7 linked regions of the Danio rerio genome follow. The protein of the gene in region 5 purifies or fractionates together with the protein of the main gene of each other region. This does not show direct contact. Links are inferred from orthologs where the notes say so. Each region holds a gene or a part of one and is shown on either strand. Other genes may lie near its edges.

Region 1 (4,279 bases), on a different chromosome or scaffold from region 5:
TGTGAAAAATATGGAAGTTTTATAGAACTGTATAAATGTACGAAATATAACCATGAACTAATACAGTGTTTAGTTTACAAAATCATAGCTTAGTGCACAAAAATGTAAAGTCTTTAAATGCAATAATGTGTTCACGTGTGATTGCAACTAGCAAACAGATTTTGACTGCATTAGTAACTACACAGTCACCTTTAAACAAAAGAAGATGCAGCATAACATTAAATACTCTTTAGTTCATCTTGGACTTGAACACAGACGCTACTAACCTCCACAATGGTGACACAAAAACCGTTTTGCTGTTTTTTTTCTTCCTTTTTTGATTTTACGGAAAAATACCAGCCGCTGTGGTTGCCAGTAATCTGCTGTTTTCAACATTTTACATTCATGAATTCAGTTTACAAAATATTTCTGTTAAAAACACATTCCACAGTCTGTATTTTTCATCGAACACCATGGTTAAACAATACAGGGTCATGTCAGAAGTTGTCAATGAACAAATGGGCGAATATAAAACCGACTTTACCTTTTATCCACTGTTTACCAGGCATGCGTTCATACACTGTAAAGTTGCTATTAAATTTGCACATTCGTTTACTGACAACTAGTGACATGCTCCCTATATTGTTTAACATGGTAATAGAATGGAGTATTCAGTGTGAAATTGCACGTATGAATTTAAATCAAAATTAGCATTTCACCATTTAGAATTTGCACAAAATACTTTTCTAAAATTATATTATTAAGGAGAAAGTCTGAATGTGGGGATATAAAACCAACTTTACCTCAACCGTATACAGAATCTTCTGAACATACAGAAGATATAAAAAACTGCCTTCTTTCATCTCCGCAATATTGCACGGATCAGACCATTTCTCTGATGCAGAGAGGCTTATCCATGCCTTCATCACATCACGTCTTGATTTTTGTACTTTGTACTGACTTTTTGGGGGTTTACCTGCAAGTTCTCTCAGAAGACTACAATATATACAAAATTCCGCTGCACGGGTTCTAACACACACATCATCACGCCACCACATTATTCCTGTGCTACAACAATTACACTGGCTTCCTGTAAAATCACGGTTTGATTTTAACTTTTAAAGCAGTGCATGGGTTAGCACCCAGTTACATCTGCAACCTGTTGACCCTCGCCACCGGAGCCTGCAGTCTTCGTTCTGCAGACTTACATTGCATCAGCCACGGTGTAAACTCAAGACCATGGGTGGGAGGGCTTTTTACCGTATACAGAATCTTCTGAACATACAGAAGATATAAAAAACTGCCTTCTTTCATCTCCGCAATATTGCACGGATCAGACCATTTCTCTGATGCAGAGAGGCTTATCCATGCCTTCATCACATCACGTCTTGATTTTTGTACTTTGTACTGACTTTTTGGGGGTTTACCTGCAAGTTCTCTCAGAAGACTACAATATATACAAAATTCCGCTGCACGGGTTCTAACACACACATCATCACGCCACCACATTATTCCTGTGCTACAACAATTACACTGGCTTCCTGTAAAATCACGGTTTGATTTTAACTTTTAAAGCAGTGCATGGGTTAGCACCCAGTTACATCTGCAACCTGTTGACCCTCGCCACCGGAGCCTGCAGTCTTCGTTCTGCAGACTTACATTGCATCAGCCACGGTGTAAACTCAAGACCATGGGTGGGAGGGCTTTTTCACACAGTGCACCTAAGCTTTGGAATGTACTCTCCATCAGCATTAGAAATGCTGCCTCTGGACTGTTTTAAGAAACTTCTTAAGACTCACCTTTTTAGCATAGCTTTTAACTTAGGATGATCATTTTGTTTAACTTTTTATTTCTATTTTATGCTTCATATTTTTATTGTTTTATTGTATCTTTTATTGTTGTGCTGTTTTGTTTGCCTTGTGTATTAGTGTTTTGCCTGTAGCGCTTTAAGTATAAAGCGCATTACAAATCAAATGTATTATTTTATATATTATTCTATATTATGCAACAGGCAACTATCAATGTTTTGATATTAATATATGGATTTGTGAGCTTTTAGTTTATCTGACTTACTGTATACATGCATATCAGACACAGTTAATAACATGACTTGCGTAAATTACAAGCAACACGATTTCACAAAAGTTAATAACTGAAATAACGTACAGTAAAAGCTATAATAGATGTGAAGTTGGTTTTATAATTATATTCGGATATTCAGACATTCTCCTTAAATGTCATTAAAGTATTTGCAAATTCTAAATAGGAAAATCATAAAAGCAGCCAGTGACTAGCAAAGTACAACATTGTCCACAATCAATTAGATAATGTTAAATGTTGTTTTGAAGACATACTTGCAAGCTAATTTCGATCGAATATTCAACGTAACATGGTAAACAATATACAGACTGCTAAATGAACGAATGTGCGAATATAAAACCAACTTTACCTCTATAAAGCTATACAATAATCGCACTAGTTGTAGTTATTATTGACTAGTCTATAGGACATCAAAACGACGAAAAATAATAAAATAACAGTGTCTACGTGACATTAGTCTGATGATAAAATACTGTTGATGAAATCAGATGAAGTCGATGATATGATCTGTTGATCGATCATCATCCGCTATATGTACGTTACCTGAGATTCTGACGGACAAACAGCCGCTCGTGCTCCTCTCTTTGACGTCTTTAACCCACAGTGGCATAAACAGCACTTTCATTGCCTTACAAACATGTCTGAAATGCTAGGATTGATCAAAATAGCGCCGGTGTGTGTAAATCCAGAAATCAACAAACGTCACTGTCTTCCGCGTTTCGTCATTCACTGGCGACCACGAAGAGATGTCTGCATTGCGTCACACACGCGCGCGCACGAGCTGTTTGTTGGTACTGTACGGTAGATAGTGCTGATTTAATCATTTTGATGTGATTAGGTTTGTATTGTGAAATAAAGCACTAGGTTTGCGATGCAATTTAAAGATATGGATGTTTTAACGAGTTCTGTAGTCTACATAAAAAAAACGAGCAGTGGTGGAAAGATTGTTGAAAAATCATACTCAAGTAAAAGTACCATTACTTGCCCAAAATGTAGTGCAAGTAGAGAAAAAGTATGTAAATATTGCTCAAAAAAATGTAGAAAAATCATACTCAAGTAAAAATACTATTACTTGCCCAAAATGTAGTGCAAGTAGAGTAAAAGTATGTAAATATTACTCAAAAAAAAAAAGTAAAAAATAGCCCTTTCAGGCCCGTAGCCAGTCTGGTGAAAGGGGTGGTTCTTTTTTTCTCAAAAAGTGGATTTTTTTTGCACTTATACACCTCAGTTTCTATTTAACTATGAGATTTAAATACTACATTTTAGTCATATATATATATATATATATATATATATATATATATATATATATATATATATATATATATATATATATATATATATATAAAATTTTTTTTTTTTTTTTTGCTGGATTAGCTAGTCAGATGTTATCATAATCACACTTTTTGATGTACTGAAAATATTTCCTGAAAAAATGCAATAAAGAAAAATTAAAACAAGACTATTTTTAAATACAAATTTATTACATCATTTATCATTAGGAAAAAATAGCAATCTGTTAAAGTTTTAAAGTAAAAAAAAGTAGCCCACTATCATTTATTAGACAAAAAACAAACTGGCCAGCACATTCAACTGTCCTCAGTCACAATTTGGCCATTTTAATAAAAATTATAATTAAAACATAATAATAATAATAAAACGATAATAATGAATTCTTTAGAAATTTTCTAGCCTCTTTGGTAAAAAAAAAAAAAAAAGTATAAAAATTCCTGAATATCAACAACACCCAGATAGCATACAAATGTAGGCCCCTTTAGGCAGTTATGTTGCACTGTTGGTCTTTTTTCGGGCCAGACAAAATAAACGTGAGCCTGAAGTGGTCCACCTGTACAATGACAAAAGGTGGCCAAGATTCCAATTAATATAAGGACCATTTAAGGCAAAGATTTGGCACTTATGGCAAAATGTAATCTGAATGTGAACCTAATGTGGCCCATGTGGAAAATGGTCAATTTGGCCCAAATGATAGAGGACAAATGTGGGCCACATTTGGCAAAAATTTGGCATAGTCATTAGAGGGTAATCTGGGTCTAAACTCAAAGTGGCTCACATGTGTAGGTGCAAATGTGGGCCAGTTATTATAAAACAAATGTGGGCCACTTTTGGCAAATATTTGGCACAGTAAGCTCTGGCTAATGTGGCTGTGAGTCTAAAGTGGTCCAGATGAGATATGACAAAT
Region 2 (4,143 bases), on a different chromosome or scaffold from region 5:
TTCTTTTTAAAGTAAAGTTTATGAATGCTTTGGCAATACATTTCTTACAATTGTCATGCAAATAACACAATTATTGAATTTAATTGATTTGAATTGACAGAGAGAGAGAGAGAGAGAGAGAGAAAAAGAAAACTGCGTTATGCCAGAAGGCCAAATTATTTAGAAAAGAAAAAAGTACAGAAAACAGATTGTTAGTGCTAGAAGTAGATCAACCTCTATAGACAGTATTAGAACAAATAAAAGTGTATTTGAAGAAGAAAGTCAGAGCTAGGAAGTTTTATTTAAAAAGGATAAGATAGACATTTTTCCCAGAGATGGGTTGTGGCTGGAAGGGCATCCACTGTGTAAAAATGTGCTGGATAAGTTGGCGGTTCATTCCGCTGTGGCGACCCCAGATTAATAAAGGGACTAAGCTGACAAGAAAATTAATAAATGAAAGAAGATAGACATTAGATTAGAAAGTGTACGAAGGTCAACGGTATTACATAGAGTGCATTTTTAAGTACAAACATTAATGTTCAACATTGTCCATTATTGGTCAAGAGATATCGGAGCTTAGTACTACATTGGTTTACTAGAGAATTATATCAACTACTTTACAAATGTATTTATTTTTAATATACTGTATAATCTTAAATGTGCAGCACACAATTTGAATTTGGTTTAATAATTAATTTGATAATAATTTATTTGATCATTTGGTTTTTAGATGTTGAGCATGGAAAGATCCAATATATCCAACATGATGTGTACAGTATGTGTGCAACACTGCGATATATTTACACATGTAAAAGGCATGCAATAACATCAACATTCTTCTTCAAAAGTATTTACTGCTTTACTTAAAGTATTGTAAATTTGAAGTATTTTAGAGAAATGAAAAGTATTTTATGACATTGCATTAATAGGATTGGATGAATGCCAATTTTAACATTCTGAAATATAATTCAAATACAACAAACTGAATTTGTGTGACTCAATTGCATTTGACAGAATATTTAATCCAAATAAAAACAACTCCAAGACATCATACAGTATAATTCGCCTGTAGTGTAGATGTGGCACCTTATGTGTGATACTCGCAAAACCAAACAAGAAAGCCTAACCACATTCACACATTAAAGCACCAATAAAATACTGCTACACTTAAACATAGAACAAGTCTCATGGAAGCAATCTTTAGCCGTTAATTGTGCAATTTGTGTCTTAAGAGTAAACTCTCTGTGCTTTTTACACGTTCAGCCATTTTAAACACATTTAAGCTCTCCTGTTCGGCAGATACCTCATAAACAAAAGGAGTTACCAGGAAACCAAAAGCATTGTTGCGTCACTACCTGTCCTGCCCTTCTATTATACTCAATGGCTCTCTCTTTGTGTGTGTGTGTGTGTTGGTGTCACAAGACCTACAGGATGGCAGAAAGCTATTAGGTAACATCTGATACTGGCAGTTCGAGGTACCAATATTGTGGCAAAATAGTGTGATGTGTGCGATCCACTTTATAATGTGACAGAAACAACATGATAATTAAAAAGAATATAATTTGGTATTATGTGAACCGCAAGTATGTTTTGTTGAAACTGTTTTTTTTAATTAAAACTTAAATGTATCAAAGATATATAATGGGATAAACAATCATCTTCAATGAAAAGTTCACCCAAAAAAGAACATTTACTCACTATTTAGTCACCCTCAATTAGTTCCAAACCTTTGAGTGTCTTCTGTTGAAAGAAAGCCAAAAACATGTAACCACTGAATTCAATAGAAGGAAAAACAAATACTATGCAAGTCAATGGTTACAGGTTTCCAGCTTTTTTCAAAATACATATCTGTGTGTTTTATGTAAGAAAGAAAAATCAAACAGGTTTGCAACAAGGGTAAGTAATTTTCCATTTCTTAAACTTGAGTTTCTTTAATATTTGTATTAAACAACGACATGCTTGCTTCCTTCAAGGACCAGCATTCAAATGACAAATTGAATATATTATTTATTTAAAACACTACAGACAAACTTTATCTTAACCACAATGCCACATACATCGAAGTAACGTTAGTCTCTACACTGTGAGTGGAACTTGTGAAATGATTTTAAAACCAAGTGTTGACAGTTGACCAACCTGATCTGAAGCAAACGAGCAGGAGGACCTAACACTTCTGGTTCAGTTTAACAGTCAAAGAGATGTGTTATGTTATCAGCACATTTGCAAGCTGAAGTTATTGTGAATATATTTCTAAACTGAGGGCCCATTCAGTAAGAGTGGAGCTCAACAGTATCATGCAAACCGGTTATGCTTCGAAGCTCAAGGTAAATTCAATCCATCTGAGTAAACAAATCAGTACAAGAAAATTCCAATATAAACGGTACTAATCTCAAGTATAAATGTGTTATTTAAACATTACATTTGTATAAGATAACCAAGCAAATTATCTACATTTGCTGACAACAGGAACGTAGAAACTTAAGTAAAACTTGAAAAACAAGCTTCGCCCTGTTTGGAGTGCGTCAAACTAACACCAACCGGTGAAAAACAAGACACGCACACACACTGACTTGTTCTAATGTTTGCACCACTAAAAGTAACATTCGCACAGATATCAAGAGAAATTAAGTTCGCACAGTTTTGTTAACTATAAACTTAAAAACGATGCAACAAAAAGCACCTGCTGACTGTTGTTAAAATTAGTGACTTACCGTACTGTTTGGATCAGTTACACCCATAGTTTCACCAGCTTCTTTTTATTTACTCCACAATATAAAAAATACACGTTATCCTTTAGAATTAAAATGTTTGCAACTGTTTTCTAGTGTAACCGATAGATGTACGCCGTGTCAACACTTCCTGGTCTCTAATTCACTCTTCCTCCAGCAGCGAATGACTTGGCTTTGGCCCACCTCTGATGCGACACTTCCCATAGCATCCTCAAGATGGCGCCGGGTTCATCTCACAAACACACCTGTAAGGTGAGTGCAAATACTATAATCATGCCATCTAGACGTCTTCCCGGCAGGTATGAGAAGCGTCTTGTAAAACCGGATTAGAGTGAGTTTTCTAAAAGTACTGATGTGTGATTAAACTCAGTGGTATTTATAGAAGTTTATAATTTCAAGCATGATGAAAACTGCTTAAAAACAAAGTTAAAATAGTTCAATTCCTATGCATGAAACACAATACGTCTTCAACAACTCCACCTAAACGCCTTTGGCATTGCATGCATTTAAAGCATTATTCTATTTAAAAAAAAATCATACTAGACACAAAACCAAGCATAAATGTGACAACACGTTTTATTTTTGAAAATGGTATGTACAATACACATCTAAAAGAAACCTCAAAGTTAAGAAATTATGTTTTACAATTTAAATAATGCAATAAAAAAACAGTGACACTGAAAACAGCACATTAATATTTTTACTTTTTACTGAAGCTGCTAAAGTTATCAAAACGCTTGATTTTAAAAGCAAACATTATTCAAACTGCACCATGTTGAGTTTTTTCCTCTTGGTGAATGCTTCTGACATCTTTCACTTTCACTTGTGTGTGTGTATATATATATATATATCAATAAAAAAGTCTGTGGTTTGGTATTTCCCTGTACAACATTATCATAATCCTGACACCACCGTCATCATCCTCCTCCTCCTCCTCCTCCTCTTGGCTATACTGTTTTGTCCCGACATTTGTATTTTTACATGCCATGGAGAACAAAAGAAAGCGGATTTACATTTTGATACAAATGACAATTTGTGCATAAAAGATTTGTGTCAGATTTTCAGTGGCCTTGTTTAATGATGATATCAGTCATGCCATCAATTTTGTGCAGCTCCAAGTTCTGTTGATGGAAAGAACCACTTTTAGATTCACAGCAATTAAATACACAAACAATAGGTTTCTACATGCAGGTTACAAAAACAAGTTTAAACAAGACAGCATGCTAACAGTAAATCAACACTGAATATTTATTAGATCTTCGTCTATAGTAAGCGTTGAACTATTTTAAAGTACTCACTTTCTCATTAGCCAAGTGCAGAAGGGCCACGAAAGCCAAGGGTACTGACAGATTAGTAGCCATGGCAGAGGGAAGCCTACAAAAAAAAAAAATGTACAGTGAATGGATAAACAAAATTGAAATATTTAGATCACTTT
Region 3 (4,038 bases), on a different chromosome or scaffold from region 5:
CTAAAGGTCAAACGACAAAAAATAAGATCAAGAATCTTGGTGTGACTCTGGAGTCAGATCTGAGTTTCAATAGTCATGTCAAAGCAGTAAGTAAATCAGCATACTATCATCTCAAAAACATTGCAAGAATCAGAATGCTTTGTTTCCAGTGAAGTAACTTCTTCATGCTTTTATCAGCAGCAGGGTGGATTACTGTAATGGACTCCTCACTGGCCTTCCCAAAAAGACAGTGAGACAGTTGCAGCTCATCCAAAATGTTGCAGCCAGGATTCTGATCAGAACCAGAAAATCAGAGCACATCACACCTGTCCTCAGGTCTCTACACTAGCTCCCAGTTACATTCAGAATAGACTTTAAAGTATTGTTACTGGTCTATAAATCACTAAATGGCCTAGGACCTCAATACATTTCATATATGCTCACTGAATACAAACCTAACAGATCACTCAGATCTTTAGGATCATATAAACTAGAAGTTCCGAGAGCTCAGTCAAAGCAGGGTGAATCCGCCTTCAGCCACTATGCCCCCCGCTGCTGGAATCAGCTTCCAGAAATGATCAGATGTGCTCCAACATTAGGCACATTCAAATCAAGACTGAAAACACATCTGTTTAGCTGTGCCCTTACTGAATGAGCACTGTGCTGCGTCGACAGATCGCACTATTATGCTTTTCTTTTCTTTTTCATTATCTTATAACATATTTTAACACATTTTTATCTGTTTTATTTATTTTTATTCGTATTTTTATAATTCTTATTATTTGTTTTTATTTTCTTACTCTTGTTTCTTTTATTCCTGTTTATGTAAAACACTTATAATTGCCTCTGTGTATGAAATGTGCTATATAAATAAACTTGCCCTGCCTTGCTTTTCCACTTAGTCCCTTTAACAATACGGGGTCGCCACAGCGCAATGAACTGCCCATTAATACCTATTCAAACTAAATAGTTAAAGATTTAACAGATAATGCAATCTTTTCTTTAAGGAACTCTTCGCCAAGTGAAAAACATAATTCATAATTTACTCATCTTGAAGCCATCCTAGATGTACTGTACAACATGCCTTTCTATTTCAGACAAACACAGAGTTATTAAAAAAAAAAAACTTCCCATATTTTTTATAGGATTTGATGCTGCCCCAGTTTAAGATTTCCATAAAAATAATCCATATCACTACAGCGTGTTATTCAATGCTCTCTAAGGGGAAAAAAATCTGTATTGACATACAGTAAGAGCCAAGCTATCACATATGAAGTAGGACATAAACATGGATAATTTTAATATAAATAATAATACAAATGTACAGGATATCCAAAACTGCCAAAATTCTAATTTAAGATTTACACTATTTCATCGAGTAACATGTTTCTGGATCAATATCTGTGTTTCCAATCAGCCAATTAGATTTAAGGAATACGTTTACAGTTATGTTTAAGTTTAGGCTTACATTTAGGGTTATACAAATCTACATCAGTATATTAATCCCCTCTGATTTTGGGAATAATTTACAGTAAGGGTTAGGCTTATCATACATAGGCTACTTCCCTTGAGAATGTGCAAACTGGAAAAGCATTAAATGTGGATATTTTTCTGACAAAAACTAATTCCTTCACTACAGAAACCATCTTTACCCATGGAGTCGTCATGTGGATTATTTTTTTAAAATTGATGTGTATGTGTAGAAAAAAAAATCAAGCCAGAAAATTACTTTGTGTCATTGTTTTTGTGCTTGTCTAAAAGAAGAAAGGTGTCTTCAGGGTCAGTAAACTGTTTACACTGCAAAAAAATGCTTTTCTTACTTAGATCTTTTGTCATGTTTCTAGTCCAAATAGCTAAAAAATTCCTAATTTAAGAATAATTTTCTAGACAAGCAAAGCATATTGTCTTGTATTGAGAAATAATATTCCAATATTAAGTGAGTTTTTCCTTAATACAAGCAAAATAATCTGCCAATGGGGTAAACAAAATAATCTTACGTCAAAAGAAAAAACAAGATTAATTTGCTTACCCCATTGGCAGATTATTTTGCTTGTTTTAAGGAAAAACTCACCTAATATTGGCATATTATTTCTCAAGACAATATGGTTAGCTTGTCTAGAAAATGCTTCTTGACATAATAAATTTTAGATATTTAGACTAGAAACAAGACAAAAAATCTAAGCAAGAAAGGCATTTTTTGCAGTGTAATTGCACGCATTTCATTTAAACGATCACTTAAAGTGTGTCTGCAATATATCTACTTACTGTTTTGTGTGATTTTCTGGATGTTTGAGCTGCATGTCTGCGTGAGGTTGTTGAAATCTCTCGGCTGTGACTGTGAGTGGCTGCTGTCCATCATTCCGTAAGACATGATGACTGAAAAACAACAGCTGCATGATCAGATGCCATAAATCACATTCACTTTAGGTTAACTGTGTTCGCGCATTAAATATAAATAAACGACTTATTTTATGTACAGGTTACACATTTCTGAAAATAGCAGTAGATAAAACACGTAAATGAATAAACCTGAAACAAATACAGAAAATGTAGGCTACTGCGTACGCAACGCAACACATTTCACGTCGGTAATGGCTCAGCAGGCCTGTCGCTGCAATAAAACAAGGACTAATTATGTACGTCTGAAATTATGTAAATATGCTTGCACGAATGTCAACAAAGCGAACGGTTTCAATACGTAAAGAGTGAGAATGAATCGCATACCTGTAACTGTGATGCTCAGATGCGGCGGCGATGCGCTGCTCCTCTCACAGAAATCGAAATGAATAGAAAGGAAACACACGATCATAGCGGTAACACTAATAGGCGGAGCTTAGATTTCTGTTTTGACGGGTCTACTTTAACTTATTTCTTTTATTTGCTTTGTTAATGTCGCTTAATGTTAATGTTATTATTATTATTTCTATAATGTGCAAATTATTGACTAGATAATATGACTAGAATCACGCTGGACCATTACAGCTGTCATGTGTTACTTTTGGGTTTTGGCAGTGAAACAGCCTAGCCTACTATATTCAAGTGTATTATACATAGTATAGCTTGTTTATAACTTTGTTAATGAATGCCACAGTAGTAATACAGTGTGTATATACACTTTATTAGGTACACCTGTATTTTGTAGACACAGTTAAGACGATCTGCAGCAGTTCAAACCGAGCATCATTATAGGAAAAGAAAGGTGATTTAAGTGACTCTGTATATGGCACGTTTGTTGGTGCCAGACCGGCTGGTCTGAGTATTTCAGAAACTGCTGATCTACTGGGATTTTCACGCACAACAATCTGGGTTTACAGAGAATGGTGCGAAAAGAGATAATATCCATTGAGCGGCAGTTCTGTGGGCGCAAATGCCTTGTTGATGCCAGGGGTCAGAGGAGAATGGTTAGGCTGGTTCCAGCTGATAGAAAGGCAACAGTAACTCAAATAACCACTCGTTACAACCGAGGTCTGCAGAAGAGCATCTCTGAATGCACAACACGTCCAACCTTGTGGCAGATGGGCTACAGCAGCAGAAGACCACACCGTGTGCCACTCCTGACAGCTAAGAAAAGGAAACTGAGGCTACAATTCACAAAGGCTCACCAAAATTGGACAATAGAAGATTGAAAAAACATTTCATGGCCTGATGGCTCTCGATTTCTGCTGCGACATTCAGATAGTCAGAATTTGGCATCAACAAAATGAAAGCTTGGATCCATCCTGCCTTGTGTCAACGGTTGAGGCTGGTGGTGGTGGTGTAATGGTGTATTTTCTTAACACACTTTGGTCACATTAGTATTGTTATTAGTATTGTTGCTGACCATGTCCATCCCTTTATGACCACAGTGAACCCATCTTCTGATGGCTACTTCCAGCAGAATAACAAGCCATGTGATAAAGTGCGAATCATCTCAGACTGGTTTCTTAAACATGACAATGAGTTCACTGTACTCAAATGGCCTTCACAGTCACCTCAATCCAATAGGGCACTTTTGGGATGTGGTGGAACTGGAAATTTGTATCATGGATGTGCAGTCTACAAATCGTGAAATGCTTTCAT
Region 4 (3,500 bases), on a different chromosome or scaffold from region 5:
GTTGATAAAGTCCTGGAACGAGACCAGAAGCTGTCAGAGCTGGATGATCGTGCTGATGCCCTGCAGGCCGGAGCGTCTCAGTTTGAGACCAGTGCCGCCAAACTCAAGAGGAAATTCTGGTGGAAGAACGTCAAGGTAAAACTAGCAGTAAAACACTAGTAGTTTAGTAATACTTGCTTCAGTAAATCAAATTTAGGAATGTTTTTTTGAAGTTACATCTAATTTATTAATAAAATGTATATGTTTTCAGTGTTTTGAGGGATATTAAGTGACTTTTAGAGGTTGCTGTTGGTCAAACTATACAAATGATGCGTCTAATTTTTTGTTTTTTAGGCTACATGCAGATATGAACACCTATTTTACGTGAAACGTGTTTTGTGAATACTTAAGTTGTCCATCAGAGCTCTTGAACTGCCCGTTTCAGACCGTTGAATATTATTTTTTAGAATTGATTGGTGCGATTATGCATTCACAATGGTATAAACCGTAATGGGGGGTCAAATATATAGTTATTTAATAAATTTTTAATTATTAATATGTAAGATATAGACCAGAGAAAGCTATTTCTTACTATTAAAGGGCTGACCCCCATACATCTTGATTTGATGTCCTTCAGGGGGGGTCAATCGTTAATTAGAGGAGTCAAACCCCTGTAATTCGCTCCCTGCTTTTAATTAATTTCATTAAAGGCATGATTAGGTTATTAGGTTAACTGCAGTAGGTTCACACCGGAGGAAACACGAACACAGGGAGAACATGCAAACACCACACAGAAATGTCAACTGACTCAGCCGAGGCTCGAACCAGCGACCTTCTTGCTGTGAAGCGACAGCTTTACCCACTGCGCCACCGCGTCGCCTACATAAAAATGGTCAATTGTAATACTTTGATTGCATTAACACGTTTCTGACCACCAGACGTCCCTACAACGTAGAGTTTCAGACACTTCAAAACGTTGAAACATTTTGCGAAGCAATTCTTCAATTGCTTCTAATGCTGGGTTCACCCAAGACGAGGAAGAAGTGTCAAGCACGAGTGCTTTACATGTTAAGTAAATGCAAAGATGCTAATAGACATCCTGCAACGCGATACGTGTGAATGAAGCGGCGCAAGTTGATCGTTTTGCACGTATCACACAAATCGCTCGAGTTGAAAAATCTGAACTTCATCAGACATTCGAGCCTCGTTAACCAATCATGAGCTATGTCTTGTAGGGGCGTCACTATGACGTAGCGCCTGTTGTTGGTGTCCCAGGGGAAAATCCTCCTGCCGACACTGGACAGCTTATCACACTGGGCTTGGCTCAGTCAGAAGCACTGCTGAAAGCTCCATCGTCCATGTATAGTTTCTGGAGGAGTTTGAGCTCAGAGCTGGGTGCACCTTTGAATGGATCTAGTGCACTCAGACACGGCACATAAACGCAGCTATTCTCTCAATAAAATCAATGTTAGCCATTTAGCAATGAAGCTAGAGTCACCGTGCAGACAGAAGCCCCGCCCATGGTGCGAATCCGTGTCTGTTGGGAAGTGAATCTGATGCGCGAATAAAGCGGGTAAACTTAAAATGTTTACGCGCGAATAGCACGATTTATCTGTGCGTGCACCATCTAGTGTGAACACAGCATACGCTTTGAAAAGCTTCATTTCTGCCATCAATAGTGGCTACATTGTTATAGTACAACGACTAGCTGTAGAAGAGCAAGCAAATACCACGTGGAAACAGGACCACAATGTCTCACTTCAGGGCTCGAAATTGGGACCATTTTGGTCGCATATGCGCCCGAAATTTAAGCTATGCGACCTCATAATATATATTGGGAGCATTCGTGCGACTGCATATAATAGTTGTAGTGCGACCTGTTTTTTTTTTTTTTCTCAAAACGTGGTAAAATCGGTCTTCCCTGCCGATATATTGGTTCATATTAGCTGTCAATCACTCAAGATTTTCCGCTGTCAGTCGACAGGGAGAGAGCTTTTGTAACCTTGGGGAATGCAAACGGCTGAAAAGTGAAAAGTACACTGAATCTCGATGCGTTGCATGCACTGCATGTTCAGCCAACACAATCTCACGGCAATTCATAACATTTTCAAAAGTTTCCTCGTGAGATCAGGCTGCAACAGCGCAAATGTCCGCTAAAACACCATCGCCAAAGAAGCTTGCCTTTACTGAGTTTAAACTGATGCGGGTTATAACAAAGAACAGTGTTGCCCCTGTGGTCATCGGGAGAATCCTGCCCTGCCCCCCTCGTATTGGGCCGGCTGACTCGCATGCTTTTCCACAAACACATATGTAATTCAGCGCGTAACGACGCTGAGCATTAAAACGACACGAACCGAAACACGAACTTTTAAAAGTGAGACTTTTCTTCCTTTCTTTTGTCCGTTCTTTCTTGAGGTGTATATTATTTTTCTATTTAATTACTGATGACTGCTTTTCAGCTTTCAGCATTGAACTAAATGATTTATTATATTATTTCGTTTGTTTTGTTGCAGAAATATTATTTATTTAATTGACATGCATATAAAACAATAGTACAAAATAAATATTTCTTACTACAATGCTTCATTTGTGTTTGATGCAAACCATTAATTTATTTTTCATAAAGTAACTGTAGGACTATATAGCAGATAACTTACATTAAAGCGGGACTAAATTTTGAATCCCGCTCCCGCCCGCACCCGCCAGGTTTTAGCCGGAACCCGACCGCTCCCGCTTATATTAAGCACTTGATGTCCCGCTGCCCGACCCGCCCCGTTTTCTATCCGCCGCGCCCGATCCCGCTAAAGAGCGGGGGGAGAACAAAACCGAATAATCACCCAGTTATACAGTCCAGACAGTCTATAACAAGCTGTCTGTATAAACACACACACGCACGGCACCAAGCACACACACACAGACAAAGCTTTTTCTCTCATTTGCGCGCGCCCTCTAACACACACTCATAAGCACCAAGCACAAACACAGGCAATAAGGCAAAGCTCTCGCACACACACACACACACACACACACACACACACACACACACACACATACACACACACACACACACACATACATACACACACACACACACACACACACACACACACACACACACACACACACACACACACACACACACACACACACACACACATATCTGTCATTCGCGCGTGCGCATACATACACACACACAAACAAACAAGCTAAACACAGCATCGCGCTATTTCATTTACACACATACATACGCGTGCTCACTCGGGAGTCGGGAGCGATATTGCTTGACAGCCCGCTCCCGTCCCAAATTAAACCCGCTACCGACCGCTGCCGTGATTTATTCGGAAATTTATACCCGCGCCGTAGAAATCTGGTCGGGTCCCGCGGCGCCCGCGGGACAGCCGCAGGAATGCAGGCCTCTACATTCAAGGCAGCATGATGATGAGAAATATAATTCATTATTAGTATTATTATCATAATTAATATTTTATAACTATTCAACATTCATTTTGGAATTATTGCAC
Region 5 (3,500 bases):
ATGTCGAGTACATTAAACCAGTGGCTCTACAGAGGCAGAAAACTCACCACAGGAAGCAGACTTGCTATCCAACAGCTTGACTCTTTTTGTCTCGTTTTTGATGCGGCCGTCCGTCTTGTCCACAAGCTGAGCGAGGTCATCGATTATCTCTAAAATACACAACAGGACAATTCAGAACAAAAACATCATATTGCTAATTACTTCCAGGACACATGCAATGGTGTAATGTAATGAAGTAATTATACAGCCCTTAAGTATTTGTTGTGAATATCTGTACTTTTTACTATTCTGGCAAATTTCACTTTTACTGGACTACATTTCTTTCATAAATTATAACAATTCTACCAAACATTTTAGCTTTAATAAAAAAAAAATTCAAAAACTTAATGTACACTCAAAAAAAATGATTGGTAACACTTTATTTTGATGGTCCATTTGAATATTAATAGACTGTCTGCTTACAATCTGTTGATACTGCTCCTTTAACAGACATTTAACTGACTATAAGAAACTTTGCAAACTTTACACTAATCGTAACCCTAATCCAAACCTTCCAGTCTACGTATAATCTAATGAGAATTAGTTGTCTAGTAGATTCAACTGAACTTAAATTCAACACACGGACCATCAAAATAAAGTGTGACTAAATGATTAGTGCTGCTTGTTCAACCTGTTTACAATGAGCAGAAACAACACAATTCTTGTAATTTCTTTGGTCAATTCTTTTGTTTTATGTTCAGTCCTCTTACATTTGTAAATCATTAAGTTAACTTAAGAGTTTTGGATTGGGATAACTTGAAGGAATTGTGTTGGTCCAACTACCTGGTTATGGGCTTTTGTAGTTCCCAACATGCTTTGGGTGGGATGTATTAAGAAAGGAAAATGTTGACAAAACAAGTAATCTTAAGTGTTTAAAGTTAATAGAAAGACTTGTTAAAGTTTATTCTTCATTTTAGTTTGGAGGTTTAGAAGAGTTTCATGTAATGCTTTGAGTTTTGAGATGACCACCTTTTAGAAGCAGCCATCCTTTAGGTGTTTGCAGCTTAATTAGCAAAAATGCAGTTTATGGCTTTGCTCAGTCAGCAATAACTGTCTTCTGAGTTCTGAGATCAGTCGTAATTTATTGTATATGTAACTCATGAAATATGCTTAAAAATGGCTATTTTAGTTTATTTTGGATAACTTCAAATAAAACAAAAAGACTTTGAAAGGTACAACACATAATGAACATACATGATATTATCAGTCATTTCAGTTTAAGTTAAATAAAAATACAAAGTATTTAAACTTTTATTTGATAAAATCATGTTGGACCAAGTCAATTGCATTTAATTGTGTAAATTGTTTTATTTAGTTGGTGCAAAACAAACTTATTGGATGGAAATCCTGCCCTCAATTAAATTCAGTTAATCCAAGGTTTGTTTTTTGTTTTTTTGAGTGTAAAAACTGAGCAGAATAATGCTACACGCTGAAACAAAAAAAAATGTAAATATTTATTGGCTTTTGACATTGTTATATTAAAAAAGATTAAGCTTTTATTTTATTTACAGCATTTACATGTACTTCTACTTTCCTTATTTAATAGTAAAAATTTAAGTTAAGCTAAAAATGATAAATATCAGATTCTTTAAAACTTTTACTCAAGTGATATTTGTACAAAAGATTGTTTAATTATTTTGTTTTCTAACTGTACATTTAGTCTTTACCTGTTTTGTTATTATGTGGGCGTGGTTAAAAGGTCCGCTCGCGAGTTTAATGAATAAAGTGAAAGTGTTCGACACAGTAATGAAAGAGGAACAGAGAGAAAGGCAGGTGCGCATCGTGATGCTCAGTCGCCAGTTTCGAGAGTTAAAGCCAACAAACTGTTAGGATTGCAATCACAGCATCCTCAGAGAAGGCAGTTTGACTGAATCCTATCAGATGACAGGAAGATGTGGTGTGATTACTTCAGAGTTTGACAGAACTTTATGATGTGCGTCATTGAAGAAACAACCACACACATACATACAAAATCACACGCTACTGCATGAACATTTACAGCAACATTTAACTTAATCTGATCACTTGCTTTTACACAATCACTCATTATACATTATACATTCATTGCAAATGAAGATCCCGGCAAATGTTGCACACTGGCTGATGACATCACTACTATTGATCGACTGCTGAAGTGATCGCTGGACCTTCTGTTTATGAGGTGGATTTTTCTGTGAAACTATTGGGACTTATTTCACCATATTACAAGTGATCGCTGGACCTTTCTGTTTATAAGTCCTCTGAAACTATTGGGATTTATTTCCCCACTATATTACAACCTTACAGTACTGTAATTATTGTCATCTTATATGATAATTGTTTTCATTTACGTGGGCCTACGCTATTTTATTTGATTTGTATTGTGATGATTATGTTTACACACTAATCATAAAGAAATTGATACATTGTTTGAACAAAATAATTTGTGTATGACCTCTTTACTCTTCTCCTATTCTTTGGACATCAATTGGATAATATATCCTTTAAGGTGGTATAGAACCGTATAGTAATCAGTGCTTTCATACAGGCTTCAATACAATATTCAAAACAGTGACTTTTACTTAAACCAAAGTCAATTTCTAGTAATATATTTGTAATTTAACTGACTTTCAAGTACTTTACTGTAGCAATCATTGTGCAATACAAACATTAAAAATAATCATATTTGGCTATAAACATCCTATTTGGATGTTTTTTTTTTATTTTCAAGATGGCTGGAGATTTTATTCCTGTCCGAATAAAAAAAAAAAAACATCTGTCTTTTTCTCTCACTACCTGCACTGTAAAAAATATCCATAAATTAGCAGTTGTCCGCATTTTGTGATTCATGTTTTTTGAAAAAAAAATAAAAAATTGCTTTTAATTTGCATTATGGGTCTTTGATCTTCCGACAACTTCTAACCTTAAAAAGTTTGAAAAGATGACTTTTTTTAACATTTTTAATATTTTAAAGTGATACATTGTCTGGGTTGGTGTTTAATTATGTTATAGAAACCTTGTAAAAAACTTTCAGTACATTTTCTGTTTTTTTATAGATTTTTCTATATATATATTATTACAGTACATTATTTGCAATACCATATGAACCATTTTATTTTGAGAGTTTGCGTTAGATCCTTTCCTTATAATTCCTATGTATTTAAAATTGCATCCAAAATTTCAAACCAACATGTCCATTAGTCTACATTAACTGAGTTTTATTAATTCTAGAAATCTTGTGAATTAAATATTTAACCTCATTACAAACTCAAACATCCACTGCAAATGTTTTAAGTTTTTCTTTTCACTTTCTGATAAGCTATAAGGACCTTTTAGGTCCCCAAGACAAACAACTGCCATCCAAAGGGCTATAGTGTATAGTTCTACAGAGAAAAAGAGAAAGAGAGCAGCAGGCGACTAGCTAAAGTTTTCCTTTGCCGTGGCTTTGTGGCGTGTGTGTGTCTACGTAAAGGGGATTTATA
Region 6 (3,500 bases), on a different chromosome or scaffold from region 5:
ATGTGGAAGCATTAACAACTGATATCAGAATATATATTTTAATTGTTCGATATGGACAGTAATTATCGAGATTACATTTTTGCCATATCGCCCAGCCCTAATTGAACTTAAATGAAATTGTTCCCATGTTCACAATACTACAGATTCCCAGTCTGAAGAAGAAACTACAAAACTTCTGTGATGGTCCAAGAATCATGTCTTGATTCTCTTGGAATTAAAGAAATTAGCAAGTGGCAAAGGATTCACAATGATTCGTTCACATCCATCTTACCAGATTTATCCTGCAGCTCATCTAGACGTTCTCCTCGTTCGATCACTTTGGAGATGTTTTCCTGCATGACGTCAATGACCTCATCGACCTGAGACTGCACCCTGAAGACCAACAAGACAGAGAGGACAACATGAGGGGAATGGTATGGTACTTCCTTTCGATTCAGCAGGACATTTTAACAGCTTCTGTGCACATGTTTAGGCCTGTGATTCTATTATTTTGAAAAAGTGAACCTTTTCTTCTTCTATAAACCATTCGGGATTCATCATTATGACTATGATCTGTTGACCCTGCAATGTCGAGAGGTGGTGAGAATGTTTTGCTAGACATAGTCTAGACACATCCAAATAGTTTGAAATATTTGATCTCATAGGCATGACAAGCAAATACGCACTAAATAGCATGTGAGGTATTTAGCTGCTCTCATACACCTGGCACAAGAGCTTGGCATGGCTTTTGAAAAGGGAGATTAACCTGTAAATGAACTGAGAACAGGATGTTTTGCCCCTTGCTTCTGTGCCTGGATGCCCGCCTAGTACAAACCATCATCAGTGCCAATGGCACAGGACCTTGCACATCTCTTGCACCTGGAATTGTACCTTCCACGTGCAGCCCTGCTTCCACATCAATAACCAACAGACAAATGAAGTAAGTGCAAAAATCAGAGAAGTACACAAAGGCAAGAAAAAAAAAAAACATTAGGAAAATTTCACCTTCCAAGGTTTCCCTATTAAATTCCATTGTTTTATGGGTCACTCTACAGTGCAGCACATGGTTACGTAAAGCTGGTGTCGTGTGGCTGCACACACTGGGCGAAGCTCTGCTAGGTCTCCACTGGGAGAATTACTGCAACACATTAGTATGTACCAAACTTCATAACAAAGAAAAGCTCACAGTCTGGCTACTACATCCACGTCAGGACCAGAAGAACTTTTGAATATTGGGAGTAGCTGTTTACTTTTGCCTGCAAATATTATGTTGTTTCATAGAAACCCAGATGGTTACAGTGCTTCCCTTCTTTGCAGACGGGAGGTGTGTTTGTGGGTGGGTGTTTTCACAGATGTCATTATAAAGGGTTACATAAACTACAAGCACAACGACATGGGCAGTGCTGGTTGAATCAAGAACTGCGATTTCCATAACACCCTGCCAGTGTAAATCTCTAGATATCTGCCTCCACATTTTTAAGCTCAGCTCATCCTACTACTTGAACATTTCTAGTTTTTCAGTTCTGAAAATAACTACCAAACTTAAAACATCAAGTCTTGACTTGAACTCAACCCTCTCTAGGTTTCTGCCTGGACTCAAACTTGACCATCTTCTGGTCCCAACTTTGACTCTCTCTTTTAGTCTCAGCCTCAACACAGACTGCATCCTCAGACTACAATCTTAGGCCATGTCCACATGGATATTTTAAATATTTTTTTCTGATTTTGTTTACATTAAAAAACAAAACTGTTCACATAAAAACAATGCATTGTCAAAGGCATGCCAAATTACCAGGAATCAATGAAAGCCTGGGACACACCAGGCCAACATGTTTATGCTTGTGTTAGTCTGTTTTTTCTTATCACTAGGTCTACAAAATGATTAATACAACCCATATCCTGAGCAGATGGCTGTTGTGGTCATTGAGTCGGTTTCTGCAAAGACCCCAGTGACAAATCGGTCAACGCATTGATCCTGTCTGCTAGTTTGAACAACTGCCTAGTGACCAACCTGGACCTGCACCTTTTCCCCAACGGGCATCCTTTATTCTCAAGCCTGTGGCATCCATACTGCACCTCTGTACAAGACATTTAGCAAGATTAAGAATGGTCTAGCCTGATTTCTCTCAAGGCTTGTTCTTCACTTCCTTCAATTGGTGAAATTTTGGTTCCTTGCCACTTTCGCCTCTTGCTTGCTTGGCTGCACTAGTGAAGCCGCACATTGGTGGACTGCTCTTCAGTGGATCGGCCTTCAGCAATGATATTTGCATTGATGCAGGCTCACACCAGATGTGGATGTAGGGTCTAGCGCAAGTGATTTACATGTTAGGTCAATGCAAAGAAGTGATTAGACATCCAGCGACGCTACTTGCACGAATGAAGTGAATCAAGCAAATAATGTGAATGGAGCAAATGACACTTCAGTTGAAAAATCTGAACTTTGGTGGACATTGGTGCAGCGTTAACCAGGAACTTGCTCTACTAGGGCCATGACTACAACATAGTTTCTTTTGATGGTGTCCCAAGGGAAAAATCCTCCAGTGAAAACAGGACAACAGCTCATCAAACTGGAACTAGCTCAGTCGGAAATACCACTGAAGGCTTCTGTGATCCTGGCACAGCTTCTGGAGAAGCACAGCTACTCTCTTCATAAAATTCATGTTAGCCATTAGCAACAAAGCTGAAGTCACAAGGCAGACAGATGCCCTCCCATGACATCAATCTTTGTCTATTGTGAACTGATTTTAACGCAAGAATGAAGTAAACTAAAAATATTTGTGCATCTAATTACAAGTGTGGTGTAAACACCCTATATCAATGAACTAAACTGAATTTATACTAAAACGGAAGTGAAACAGTTTCAATTTACTAGAACTACACCAGCATTCGACTTTACTCTCTGGCCTACCTGCCTGAATTCCTGGAAAATTCCACAATTTAAAATATTATTGCTTTTACTTTCTTTTCTTCATCTATGTTAGGCTGCTTTGACACAATCTGCATTGTTAAATAAGCTATAGATATAGATATAGTGTCTGGACCAAAAGCCTATGCTAGAACAGACCAAATGGACGACAACTGACTGAAATGAGAAGTATTGTACTGTCAATCCACAAAGGGAACACAGAACTAGTGCTGCTCACATACAAACCATAAACAACAGAAAAAATTTAAAAGAAAAATTGTGTACGTACTGTCTGATTTTATCATTTTGACCTCCAAATCTTGGTCCTGTCGGTCCTCTCCTTTAAAAAAAAACATTAAAAAAAAGCTAGACAAATCAAAAGCTGGACGCAAACAATAATTAATGCAGAAGATCTGTTATTATTCCAATTCAAGAGTGATTATGCACAACTGCAGACTTACAGGAAAAAGTCCTCCTCTTCATCAGAGTCTTCCTCCAGTAGGTTCCTCTGCAAATTAAGAAGATGAGTATATCAGGCTGGGCACAACTGGGCATTGTGGGTTTAATCTAATGTTCTGTCTGAATTGAAACCAGGTGTTTGAAATAACAGTCTGAG
Region 7 (3,976 bases), on a different chromosome or scaffold from region 5:
TGTGTGTGTGTGTGTGTGTGTGTGTGTGTGTGTGTGTGTGTGTGTATCAGGCCCGGATTGGCTAATCGGGAGGACCGGGAGAATTCCCGGTGGGCCGGTGCGTTTTTTGGCCGCGAGGGCCGGTGTCCCTAGCTCTAGAATCTGTTGCTCTCAGCAGTCACACTTTTTAAATTAATTTATTTACTTACTTGACTACAGTCTTCTTATTCATCATTTTACCGCAGCTCTGCTCTTTTTATATATGACCAGCCTGCAGGTTAATGACGATATTAGTCAGATGAGTCAGTCCTTCATATACAACTGTTGTGGTCCAGTGGTTAGCACGTTAGATTATGACGCTAACTTTCAGTAACTCGCAGCGACATATATAATATATATATATTTATATATATATAAATAATTTTTTTTGTCAATATTTAATTTACTATTAATCTCACTTAATGACAACGGTGAGCACACTGTTTGCAGCACAAGACTATTCTTGGTTTAATTTTGGGGATCGTCCTCTATGTGTAGTCGTGGCCTTTATTTTTTATGTACACGCGTGCCGTAAAGGTGTCAGAGTTTAACATTGTGCCATTAATCTAGTGTAATAACCCCAGGGGTTGGAATCCAATGGGAAAAGAATTGAAAGGCTGATGGCTTTTTATTTGCATGCTGTTATTTTATTTAACTATTAAATACCATGTTTATCTTCTGTAAGTTATGGATAAAATATGGCTATTCTAATAGTTTAATAACATATATTAAAGAGAAATCACCAAGCAACCCACCCTCATTGTCTCACAAACCCCAATTTGGGAACCACATAGCTATACTACTAGTAGCCTACATAAATGTTTATGTGAAGTATGCTTAAGATATATCAATATTAACTAACTATACTTAATAAAAAGGAACGTGAAGTATACTTCTTTTTAGTAAGGTTAGGCTACTTATTACCCATGTGGAAACCAAGTTAAAGTCTACTTTATTTTTGTTATGTAGGCTAGTTTTTTTTTTTTTTTACTTTTTTAATTGGGGTAAGTTAATAATAATAGACATCTGCCTAGTATTTGTCGATCTAAACATATAGTACATAAACTCAATAGTTTAGTATATGCGTCAAGTACATTACTAATCTACTACATGTTTCTGAACGCACACGGAAGATAGAACAGAAGTCACGTGACCCGCGCGTCAAAGAAATCAGCTGAGGGCTCGGAGTTTCACTCAGGAAATCCAGGTAAACCGAACAACCAAAGTACATATTAAAGTAAACGATGCGTATTTATAAACTGTACATGTGTGCAGACTTTACGTAAATAGTTGTTGAGGGTAGTTTAAAAGAGAAGTCAGTAAAGTAGCAAGCGCAAAGTTCATTCACTGAAGCATATTTGTTGACAGCGCGATTTGTGTTCACTTGACATGAAACTACACTGTAAGATTCCCGAATGTTAATGTTTGTTGTGTGTCAGCAAAGTTAAAACAATAGCTGTCTAGTTTTATAAATGAAAATGCGTGTTTGTGAGTTTGTGAGCCGTGATTTCCGCATTCTTTCGTTTTGCAGGTGCAGCGCAGATCGGTTTTACTAGTCATCTGTTTAGTACTAGCCTGCTAACCAATAAACAACATTACGCCAGCTATTTTCGAGTAATTATTGAGCTAATAAGGCATATTTCAAAGCAAGGTGAGCAACTATATGGGGCAAGTTTTCTCGTTAATTCAAAATGACAACAGTAATATCATTAAGGGAGATTCTAAAACGCATGAAATAAGCTTAATAATTGAGGTTAAGTTGATTTTATACTATAGACTTTATCCTTAATAATATAATTTTGGCTAAGAACTGCACATTCTGATTAGGGACATCATATTAGCATCTAATGACTTTCAAAGTACACGCTGCTCTCAGTCAATTAAATAATGCTAATGTTTAGGTCATACTTACATGTGATTTCAGACTTCATATATAAAGTAGCATGGTAAACAATATAGGGAGTGTATCACAAGTTGTCACTGAAAGAATGTGCGAATATAAAACCAACTTTGCCTCAATAGCTTAATATACCTAAACATCAACCAGAGAAGCCCACATTTCGATCAAACTTTACTTGTAATTAACCCGAACTACTGTTAAGACAGAGTCCCAATTCCATAAGTGAAAAATATCACGCTAAGCGTTTTCTCCACTATTGAAGTCTATTATAAGTAAAAGCTTAATGTGGCTTAATGTACCTCAACAACAAGTGGGGGGAACCAAATTTCTATCAAATTTTACTTGTGGTTAGCACTAACTATATAGCAAAAAAATTAAAAATTTGCCCCATTTCCACAGCTTAAGTGAACAGCGTTTTTCCCTATGTTGTTGTGGGGATGTCAATGACATGCACAAGTGCATTCTTTTGACAGCAAAGGGTTAATCTATAATAAATTAAGTTAGATTTTTTGAACAGCTTTTTTATAATTTGGTTTCCCTCTGTTTTTAAGTCAAGCTTTCCTTATTAAGGACTTCAACGGGGAAGAAAACACTTAACGTGATATTGTTAACTTTATCTGTGGAATTAAGGCCCATTCTTTTAAAAATAGTTTGTCTTAATCACAAGTAAAGAAATTTGGGTTTCCCTGGTCTGGGTTAAGATATGTTAAGCCACGTTAAGCTGATTCCTTATAATGCGCTTCTGTGAGGAGAATGCTGAAAGTGATATTGCTCACTTGATACACTAAAATAAAAGCTTGTTCTTTTACAGCAGTAAGTGTTTTTCATGAATATATATCTATAGAAATTTGATTGTCTCTAGATGTTAAGTTAAACCACATTAAGCTGTTATAATGGACTGAAATGGGGATAAAATGCTTAACAACATTGTCCGCTTTATCTACAGACTAAGGGCTTGATCTTTTGATAGTAGTTAGTGTTAATCACAAGTATTCGATAGATTTTTGGTGTACCCCACTTGTTGAGGTATACATTAAGCCATGTTAAGCGTTTTCCTTTTATAATGGACTCAGTGGGGAGAATTGCATACCGTGATAATTTTTACCCACTAAAATAAGAGCTCATTCTTTTGACATCAGAAAGTGTTTGTAACTTTTATAGAAATTTGGTTTCTCCCACTTGCTGTTAAGGTACATTAAGCCACGTTAAGCTTTATCCTTATAATAGACTCCAATGGGGGAGTAAACGCCTAACATGATGTTTTTCAATTTATCTGCTTAATTGGGACTCATTCTTTTTACAGTAATTAGGGTTAATTACAAGTACAGTTTGACAGAAATTTGGGGTTTTCTGGTTGATGTTTAGTTACATTAAGCCCCGCTTTCTTCATGTTAAGCATTTTTGAATGTCCCCATTAATATAATTAAGAAACGCATACAAAATAGTGAGCAATTGTTTTGGTCTCCAAATAGTACAGTACGTTTTAAGGGTAACTTAAAGTTGGTTTATATTCACACATTCAGACTTTCTCCTTAATATAATTTCAGAAAACTATTCTTTACTAATACTAAATAGTCAAATCATATTCCCAGCAAATGACAATTAAAGTACAGCATTGTTCATGGTCAATTAAATAGTGCTAATGTTGTTTTGGAGGCATATGATTCAGACCGAATATTTAAAGTAGTAAACAATATAGGAAACATGTCACAAGTTGTCCCTAAATGAATGTGGGAATATTAAACATTAATAAGTATGTATAGTTTGTGTAAAACATGTTTACAACTCGTGAAAGTCTGTCACTACTTGACATTTATTAAAAACGTCGCAAATCCAGCATTTCAGTTCATACATGTTAATATACAAACTATTCTGTAGCATGTAGGATCAAATATAATGATAGTTGAATGTTATTGAAGGAAGAAATTGATAAGCCATATGTAAAAACACGTTCAAATAGTATGTTTTAGGAGCAATGTATATAAGAAAACATGTTTATGAATAAATTGTATAAGCTTGTTATTATGTAGCGCAGTATAAGAGATAATTGTGCGATTG

What was found.
Region 1: the proteins of stx8 (region 5) and sybl1 purify together in Homo sapiens (affinity purification with western blotting; 3 studies listed by BioGRID and IntAct, with this or other methods). This does not show direct contact. The link is inferred for Danio rerio from reciprocal best matches to the Homo sapiens genes STX8 and VAMP7.
Region 2: the proteins of stx8 (region 5) and vamp8 purify together in Homo sapiens (co-immunoprecipitation; 5 studies listed by BioGRID and IntAct, with this or other methods). This does not show direct contact. The link is inferred for Danio rerio from reciprocal best matches to the Homo sapiens genes STX8 and VAMP8.
Region 3: the proteins of stx8 (region 5) and stx12l purify together in Homo sapiens (affinity purification with mass spectrometry; 3 studies listed by BioGRID and IntAct, counting the BioPlex papers as one, with this or other methods). This does not show direct contact. The link is inferred for Danio rerio from reciprocal best matches to the Homo sapiens genes STX8 and STX12.
Region 4: the proteins of stx8 (region 5) and vamp3 purify together in Homo sapiens (co-immunoprecipitation; 3 studies listed by BioGRID and IntAct, with this or other methods). This does not show direct contact. The link is inferred for Danio rerio from reciprocal best matches to the Homo sapiens genes STX8 and VAMP3.
Region 6: the proteins of stx8 (region 5) and vamp4 purify together in Homo sapiens (co-immunoprecipitation; 3 studies listed by BioGRID and IntAct, counting the BioPlex papers as one, with this or other methods). This does not show direct contact. The link is inferred for Danio rerio from reciprocal best matches to the Homo sapiens genes STX8 and VAMP4.
Region 7: the proteins of stx8 (region 5) and stx7l purify together in Homo sapiens (affinity purification with mass spectrometry; 5 studies listed by BioGRID and IntAct, counting the BioPlex papers as one, with this or other methods). This does not show direct contact. The link is inferred for Danio rerio from reciprocal best matches to the Homo sapiens genes STX8 and STX7.

Annotation. Positions count from the first base shown.
Region 1 is NC_133189.1:9,609,540-9,613,818, forward strand, and holds the start of sybl1 (vesicle-associated membrane protein 7), read right to left. Parts: upstream 2,801-4,279; 5' UTR 2,623-2,800; intron 1-2,622. UniProt on the Homo sapiens protein: Involved in the targeting and/or fusion of transport vesicles to their target membrane during transport of proteins from the early endosome to the lysosome. Required for heterotypic fusion of late endosomes with lysosomes and homotypic lysosomal fusion.
Region 2 is NC_133180.1:28,878,231-28,882,373, reverse strand, and holds the start of vamp8 (vesicle-associated membrane protein 8), read right to left. Parts: upstream 2,801-4,143; 5' UTR 2,718-2,800; coding exon 2,691-2,717; intron 1-2,690. UniProt on the Homo sapiens protein: SNAREs, soluble N-ethylmaleimide-sensitive factor-attachment protein receptors, are essential proteins for fusion of cellular membranes.
Region 3 is NC_133191.1:7,959,399-7,963,436, reverse strand, and holds the start of stx12l (syntaxin-12), read right to left. Parts: upstream 2,801-4,038; 5' UTR 2,789-2,800; coding exon 2,704-2,788; intron 2,356-2,703; coding exon 2,245-2,355; intron 1-2,244. UniProt on the Homo sapiens protein: SNARE promoting fusion of transport vesicles with target membranes. Together with SNARE STX6, promotes movement of vesicles from endosomes to the cell membrane, and may therefore function in the endocytic recycling pathway.
Region 4 is NC_133186.1:42,699,741-42,703,240, forward strand, and holds part of vamp3 (vesicle-associated membrane protein 3), read left to right. Parts: coding exon 1-135; intron 136-3,500. UniProt on the Homo sapiens protein: SNARE involved in vesicular transport from the late endosomes to the trans-Golgi network.
Region 5 is NC_133181.1:25,853,213-25,856,712, reverse strand, and holds part of stx8 (syntaxin-8), read right to left. Parts: intron 150-3,500; coding exon 48-149; intron 1-47. UniProt on the Homo sapiens protein: Vesicle trafficking protein that functions in the early secretory pathway, possibly by mediating retrograde transport from cis-Golgi membranes to the ER.
Region 6 is NC_133195.1:16,244,147-16,247,646, reverse strand, and holds part of vamp4 (vesicle-associated membrane protein 4), read right to left. Parts: intron 3,393-3,500; coding exon 3,346-3,392; intron 3,225-3,345; coding exon 3,174-3,224; intron 373-3,173; coding exon 272-372; intron 1-271. UniProt on the Homo sapiens protein: Involved in the pathway that functions to remove an inhibitor (probably synaptotagmin-4) of calcium-triggered exocytosis during the maturation of secretory granules.
Region 7 is NC_133195.1:49,559,518-49,563,493, forward strand, and holds the start of stx7l (syntaxin-7), read left to right. Parts: upstream 1-1,176; 5' UTR 1,177-1,225; intron 1,226-3,976. UniProt on the Homo sapiens protein: May be involved in protein trafficking from the plasma membrane to the early endosome (EE) as well as in homotypic fusion of endocytic organelles. Mediates the endocytic trafficking from early endosomes to late endosomes and lysosomes.